Saccharomyces cerevisiae S288C: one gene and its partner. Changing the gene in region 1 together with any one later gene gives a genetic interaction. Each region holds a gene or a part of one and is shown on either strand. Other genes may lie near its edges.

Region 1 (3,755 bases):
TTTTATGTTGTCTGTATATACACATATGTACAATATTTGCATTTTTTTAATTTTTAATTCACATGTATTTGATAAATGTTCACGCCAGTCCCGTTAAATTAAAATTACCATTTTATTAGATTATGAATTTATATATGAATACATTGTGTCGTAATGGTAGAAGAAGTTGAAAAAAAAAATGTCAAGGGACAGCATGGGTACAGTGTGTTGAGCCAAAAAAAAAAAGAAAAAAAAAGAAAAAACTTTTTGTTCTCTGGTTCTTTTCTTCATCTTCTTCATCTTCATTCTTTGGTAGCGGGGGCCACAAGAAATTCGGGCGAAAGTGCTCATTATATTGTTACATCCAAAATTTTGCCCACATCCAGTGAGGTTTTCACAGAAAGGTCTTCTAAAAGAGGAATAATATCTAATAATTCGTTATCATGAGTATCTGAGAACCAGGACGAAATCGGTATTGCATGTTGGGGATGAAAAATATAAGATGCCGGAGAGTTATCGAGAATGATGATATCTGATAACGGCCTTCCAATCTGGGATAAGTTTTTTATATAGTTTCCTTCATAGTTATAGCAAGCCTCTCTGAATAATCTGTGATGAATGACTTTATCTGTGTCTAATATATCAAGCAAAGGATCACCGTATCGAGAGACACTAGCCGTGAAGACTACAACCTCGAATAATTTTCCGACTCTTTCCAAAAATTCTTCCACACCAGGTCTTTTAATGACATAGACATTGTGTACTTGGTCATCTATTTCCACAGACAAAACAAAATCCGCAGATCGTAAGTATTTGAAAGAAGAGTGTACCAAGGTTTCATCCAGGTCCAGTATTAGGCATTTCTTGCCCTTTGTACTTTCATCTTGTGGGGGGAGCAGAGTGTTGTAACCTGGTGCATGATACTGGCCCTGCTGCAAAAGCGTTAGATCAATATATTCTTCATCTTCATCGTCTTCGTCGTCGGCATCGTTGGAAGTTTCACTGGCTTGAGAGCTGCTACTTACCCTACTCAAATTCATATCTTGGATAAGATGGTCAGACGATACTTGTACAGTAGGCCCTCGCTGCTGCGACTGCGACTGCGACTGTGACTGTGACTGTGACTGGGGTTGTGGTTGTGGTTGTGACTGTTGTTGTTGTTGCTGCTGTTGTTTTTTCTGCCTGGAAGTATCTTTCACAGCATCTCCTTTTTCCTGTACAATGCCACGACTGCGACGGTTATCTTCATCGTCGATCTCTTCATCTTCGTCAACCTCGTATTTTTCCTCGTAAAGATCATCTTTACTAATTCGCTTCTCTACTTTTGTCATATTATTAGTAGTAGTGGCGGTGACGGCTGCAGTCGGCGACGATGGCTTCTTTTTTTCATTATCGTTCGTGCTTATCCCAGATTTACCGGTGGATCGTTCAGTGGAACTGAAAGTAGCGGCTGAATTTGTCTTAGAAGGAGGAGAGTTTGTCTGATGTACGCCACGGGTTCGGCTTTTCGTGTTGGAATGTTTAACGCTTCTGTTTTTATTGAGAGAACTGCTCTGTTGTTGGCGATAAGCAGAATTGGAATTGGATTGTGTCGTCTCGGAAGAGCAGCACAGTATTGACGATATGAAACCCATACTGTTTTGCTACTTATTGTTGTTAAAGCTTACGAACACGAATGTAGGCAAATAAAAAGCTTGGATAAACGCACAATGAAAGGGGAAGTGCGATTGATTATGCTATAAGGAATGACACGAAGAGAGCAGACTATAGGCTAGGCAGGCGATAAAGGAAGGAGTTGTACTTGACGACAACGTAATAAAGAGTTCAATGAAAGAGTATTGTGAGCAGTATGGTTCAACGAGCACTTCTTCTCGACACCTATTTCTATACTTTTTCACTTAATATACACTAACTAATCCCAGACTTTTTTTTTTTTCCGTTCTTTCCAGAAAAAAAAGAAACAAAGCAAGCGTGCCCTGACTTAGGGTTTCCTAAAAAAGTTATTAGGTTTGTGTCACGTGATACGTCCTTTTCTGGTCACGTGGTCTTAGAACACTCTTAAGGGGCCAAGCACAAGAGGACAGTGCTAGCAGTAGAAGTGGTGTAGTAGTGATGAGGTAATGTTAATTGTGCATCGCACATATTTACAGGTAGTATATACTATAGTTTGTGAATACCTATTCTTATATATACAAGAAATGGTTGTCGGCAGACTGTCAGTAAGACTAATTTGCACTTGGAACTTCGAAGCCATAACCCTTCATGCACTCTTTGTACTTTTCAATGAATTCCTTGCATTTTTCAGAGTCTTGTCCATTGAATAAGATGCATGTATCCCGCTCCTCCTTTTCTGGCTTACAAACGCAACATGGCTTAGGTTTGTCCTCGCACTCCGCGTGGTTTTCTTGTTCTTGTTTCTTGTCAGTTTCAGTCATTGGGTATAATTGATTGTGTAGTTATCTGATTGTGTACACTAAAATTTTGTTTAGTTGTACTAGAGACAAGTAGTTAGGTGGTTACTAGATTCTGATTCGCCGCTATATATCGTCATTTTATCTTTTTTTGAAGGAGATAGGTAGGGTTATAACATTATCCGGGTAATGATTTGAAAAAAAATTTTCAAAAAATGCGATGAGATGAGGTTGAAAATTGTAAGTTAGAATATGCTTAGATAGTATGAGTATTTACGTTGGTAACTTGGGTTTCGAATTGGAGCTGTGTGCCTACAACAGCGTCTTATATATATACTATGGTGGTAGGAACTAAAAAATACTCTAATTTGGACTTTGTCCCTACAATCAGTGACAGTGAAGACGATGTTCCAATTCTAGATTCTTCTGATGACGAAAAAGTCGAGGCTAAGAAGACTACGAAGAAGCGGAAGGGTAAGAATAACAAGAAAAAGGTTAGTGAGGGGGATAACCTCGATGAGGATGTTCATGAGGACTTGGACGCGGGGTTTAAGTTTGATTTGGACGCCGATGATACCACTTCGAACTTCCAAGGCTGGAACTTTCTAGCAGAGGGCGAGTCCAATAAGGACGATGCCGAAGCTTTTGTGAAGAAGGACGTTGACTTGGATAAGATTATTAGAAGAAAAGGTGGGCTGGTGAAAATGGCCCATATTGATAGTAAACAAGAAGAAGAAACCGAGAAAGAAAAAGTAGAAAAAGAAAACGATAGCGACGATGAGGAATTAGCAATGGACGGGTTCGGTATGGGAGCTCCCATGAACAATGGAGACGAAAATCAGTCAGAAGAAGAAGAAGAAGAGGAGGAAAAGGAAGAGGAAGAGGAGGAAGAGGAGGAACAAGAAGAGATGACGTTAGAAAAAGGCGGCAAAGATGACGAAATAGATGAAGAAGACGATTCTGAAGAGGCAAAAGCCGATTTCTATGCGCCTGAAACTGAGGGAGATGAAGCTAAAAAGCAAATGTACGAAAATTTCAACAGTTTGTCTTTATCTCGTCCGGTTCTTAAGGGCCTTGCAAGTTTGGGTTACGTCAAGCCTTCCCCTATTCAAAGCGCCACAATCCCCATTGCCTTATTGGGTAAAGACATCATTGCCGGTGCTGTGACTGGTTCCGGTAAGACTGCTGCGTTTATGATTCCCATAATCGAGCGTTTGTTGTATAAACCAGCCAAAATCGCTTCCACCAGAGTTATTGTTCTATTGCCCACTCGTGAGTTAGCTATCCAAGTCGCTGACGTTGGTAAACAAATTGCACGTTTCGTCTCCGGTATAACCTTTGGTCTGGCCGTTGGTGGTTTGAACT
Region 2 (3,755 bases), on another chromosome or scaffold:
CCACTAGCACTGTTTCCGAACAAACTGAAAACGGTGCTGCCAAGGCTGTCATCGGTATGGGTGCTGGTGTCATGGCCGCTGCCGCCATGTTATTATAATCTCATTTTTAAATGGAATTTTTAATGTTCGTATATACCAATTTATCTATTGAATAGTTTTTTTTAAATTTTACTGTTTCTTTTAAACCTCGAATTATTGTGAGAACTGATTTCATCAACTGGAGGCTGTAGTGTACGTTTTGAAAACGGAAATGATTTACCGTTTTCTTTTATGATGATGCTAGGATAGGCACCTTCAAACATGCATGTCTTCCTGCCCACATTCTGAAAATATTTAACGATGGATGAAAGAAATCAACAATAGAAAAGGCCAGTTGTCAGTTTTTATATAATACAGAGAAGTACATATGACAGTTTAAAAGTTAAGCATTAACTGGTAAGTTGAAATAATAATATAATCATAAGCGGAACGAACATTTTCGACACGTACTAAAATCATAGTAGCATGGCGGCAACAGCAGCTAAAGCACCGGCACCCATACCGATAACAGCCTTGGCAGCACCGTTTTCGGTTTGTTCAACGATACCGGTAGTTTTAGATTGAACGCTAACAACGGTAGCAGACTTCTTAGCTTGACAGGCGGAGTCACATACGGTAACTGTAGTCTTTAGTGTAGAGAAGTCAGTTGCAGTAGAGGTACCTTCTTTGCATGTACTGCAGATAGTAGCGGTTGAAACCTTAGTAGAATTGTTGTAACCGGTGGTGGAAGCTGGAACGGCAGATGTTGAAGAGTAGTCACAGACAGTGGTTTCTTTGGTGACAAGAGTGTTGTCAGTTTCAGTAACAGTGGTACCGTTTCTGGTTGAGATAATAACGCTGGAAGCAGAACTAGCTGGGGTGGTGGTGGTTGTGGAGTTGTAAGGAGCAATGGTCGAGATAGAAGTCTGGGCAGTGGAAGAAGAGCTAGCAATGGTTGAGTTGTAAGGAGCAACGCTTGAGCTAGCAGGTCCGGCCGAAGATGAAACAACTGAGGAAACTGGAGAGGAACTGACAGCTTCAGAAGAGGAAACGGCTGAGGAAGAACTGACAGAGGAAGAGCTAACAGACTCGGTCGAAGAGGAAACAGCGGAGGAAGATGTGACAGCAGAAGAACTAGTAGCTTCGCTTGTAGAAGAAGCAACGGAAGAGCTGACAACTTCACTTGAGGATGGCGCAACAGAGGAGCTGGCAACTTCACTTGAGGATGAAGCAACGGAAGAGCTGACAACTTCACTTGAGGATGGTGCAACGGAAGAGCTGACAACTTCACTTGAGGATGGCGCAACAGAGGAGCTGGCAACTTCACTTGAGGATGAAGCAACGGAAGAGCTGACAACTTCACTTGAGGATGGCGCAACAGAGGAGCTGGCAACTTCACTTGAGGATGAAGCAACGGAAGAGCTGACAACTTCACTTGAGGATGGTGCAACGGAAGAGCTGACAACTTCACTTGAGGATGGTGCAACGGAAGAGCTGACAACTTCACTTGAGGATGGTGCAACAGAAGAGCTAGTGGATGAAGCAATAGAAGAGCTAGCAACTTCACTTGAAGATGTGGCAGCAGAACTTGAGGTAGTTAGAGAAGCATCCATTGCTTCTAATTCTGGAAGCAGTCTAGAAGAGTACCATGGGACCATAGTCAACATATGCTCAACAGCAGAAAAGTCCACTTCAGAGTACAAAGTGGTGTAGGAGTCATCACTTGGATTTGCAACCAATTGCGCAGCAATATCCATAATACCAGCTGGCATTTGGTCCAAGGAAAAACCTGAATTTGGAGTGTAGGATAGGGTGATGTAGTCGGCAATGTTGGTCTTAACATCATCTAAAACAACGTTCAATTCGTTGATTTGTGCTTGGGTTTGAGCGTAAGCAATAGCAGCAAGAGCGGCTAGTAATGTGATTTTAGAGTAAGCCATATTTTTTATGGTATTAATAAGCGAGTGAATAGGTTTTTGTTGCTGGTTTCTATCAGAACAAGAGTAGGGAACGAGATAAGTAAACGGGCTAAAAACTGATCTGTCCTAGCGATCCTTCCCTTTTTATATTCGAAAGCTTGGGATCATATCTTACTGCGTGGAAAACAAAGAATTTGCATCCTCCCTTTTGGACTATCCTACTTGTTAGAAATGCATCGTTTAGGAACCCTGTTCTATTATTTTCCGTCATTTTTTGAGAATTTCCATTCCTTCTAAAAGTGGCAGATGGGTTGTTACGAGATTTTTACTGATAATTCGCGCGCAGCGTCGCCTCTCCGCGAGTTTCAGTGTAAGCTATTGTTGAAAAGTACTTCGTTTGCCTTTTTAAGTTGCCTTTGGTTGCCATTGTTGTATCTTCAGGGTTTTCTTCGGATCACATCAGCTGTGAGAGTACGGTTAAGTTTGGAAGTCACAACTCGATTATGCCAGTTCGTAAGTGAGCACTAGATGACCTTGCTTTCCCCGTACGAGCCGGTTACGGTAGCAACTTTTGTTTTCCTTGCGCGGAGTGTATGCCTATTCTGATCTTTAAATTTCCTGAAGTGTCTGTCGTGCGCCGTAAACGAATTATTACACACACACGAATCTGGGAAACCGTGAACCCCATACATTGTCTTTTTTTTTTCACAGTCCCTTATCAGTACCGTTTGGCTAACAAAAGCATAAAATATTGTTCGTTCAGATGACCCCTTCAGTACACCGCGTTTACAGTTTCAAAGTTCCTTTTAGAATAGCACCCTGTTCGCCGGCGGATAATTTGCACGCCGTATGAAGGAAGAACATATAAAAACGCAAAATATGAGGCATAAACAATCACAATATCCTCACCTTAGAAGTTAGCCGTAGCGGTTTTCTTGCGCGTGCTTGTTTCTTTTCTTAGTTCTAAGCTTCAGCAAACCCATCCACAATCTTTCTTCAAGAACTTTATCGTGTCTACTTCATAACAACCTGCTAAACAGATTGTGAAATCGTTCCTGCTCAAGCAAGTAGTTTATGATAAATCGTCTTGTAATAGCTCGGCAAAACAACATCATATATGAAAGTGTTTCAAGTTTTTTGCCTAGTAGCAGACTGGAAATTCCACCACCTCTCTTCCAGACTTCGGTTTACATAAGAACTTAATGGTGTGTAATTTTTTTACATACTTCTGGAAGCAGATATCATCGGCCCCCAAAGTCGCCTTCTGCAAAATAATGTGGAGATCTTATCTTGTTTTTCTCTTCTTTATGACACCAAGGATACAAACATATTGTCCTGTACCGGTACTAAGGTCAATGGCAGTATTAAATATTATCTCTCCGCTTATAATTTTTGTCAGTCCTATTAAAAAGCAAGACAGTTTACACAGCAGCGCTTGTTACGCAAATTTGACGTTAGTGGAAAAGCTGCAACTTTGGCATTCTATGTCAAACGATTAGTAATATAGTTGACTACTTTCGTAGAATTCCTTCCTCAAGAAAAATTTTCTCCGCCTTTCCTCTCTGAAGATGGAAATAACGCTGCATGGGGAAGAAAATAATGTAATTTTCGAAGCGAAAGCGAGAGAAACGGAGGGGAAAAATAAAAGTGTTTGGCGTATCATAGCCTCATTTGGAAGAATTTAACGCAGTGTAGTTTTCTTGGACGATACAGTAAACTCGACCAGGCACTAACATTACAGAAAATCTCGTATTGATATTGTTATTGCTTAAAGGGTAATCAAGGTAAACAAGAAAGAAGCTCCTCGTTGTCCGTAAA

What was found.
Region 2: mutations in PSR1 (region 1) and TIR4 together harm fitness more than expected from each alone (negative genetic interaction), as found in Saccharomyces cerevisiae (2 studies listed by BioGRID).

Annotation. Positions count from the first base shown.
Region 1 is NC_001144.5:129,001-132,755, forward strand, and holds PSR1 (phosphatase), read right to left. Parts: upstream 1,614-3,755; coding exon 330-1,613; downstream 1-329. Other genes in the region: copper metallochaperone COX17, read right to left, coding at 2,205-2,414; DRS1 (putative ATP-dependent RNA helicase), read left to right, coding at 2,729-3,755. UniProt on the Saccharomyces cerevisiae protein: Has phosphatase activity in vitro. Involved in the response to sodium and lithium ion stress (but not to potassium or sorbitol stress) by inducing transcription of the sodium pump ENA1/PMR2.
Region 2 is NC_001147.6:342,538-346,292, reverse strand, and holds TIR4 (Tir4p), read right to left. Parts: upstream 1,959-3,755; coding exon 495-1,958; downstream 1-494. Other genes in the region: TIR2 (putative GPI-anchored mannoprotein), read left to right, coding at 1-98; YOR008C-A (uncharacterized protein), read left to right, coding at 3,212-3,436. UniProt on the Saccharomyces cerevisiae protein: Component of the cell wall. Required for anaerobic growth.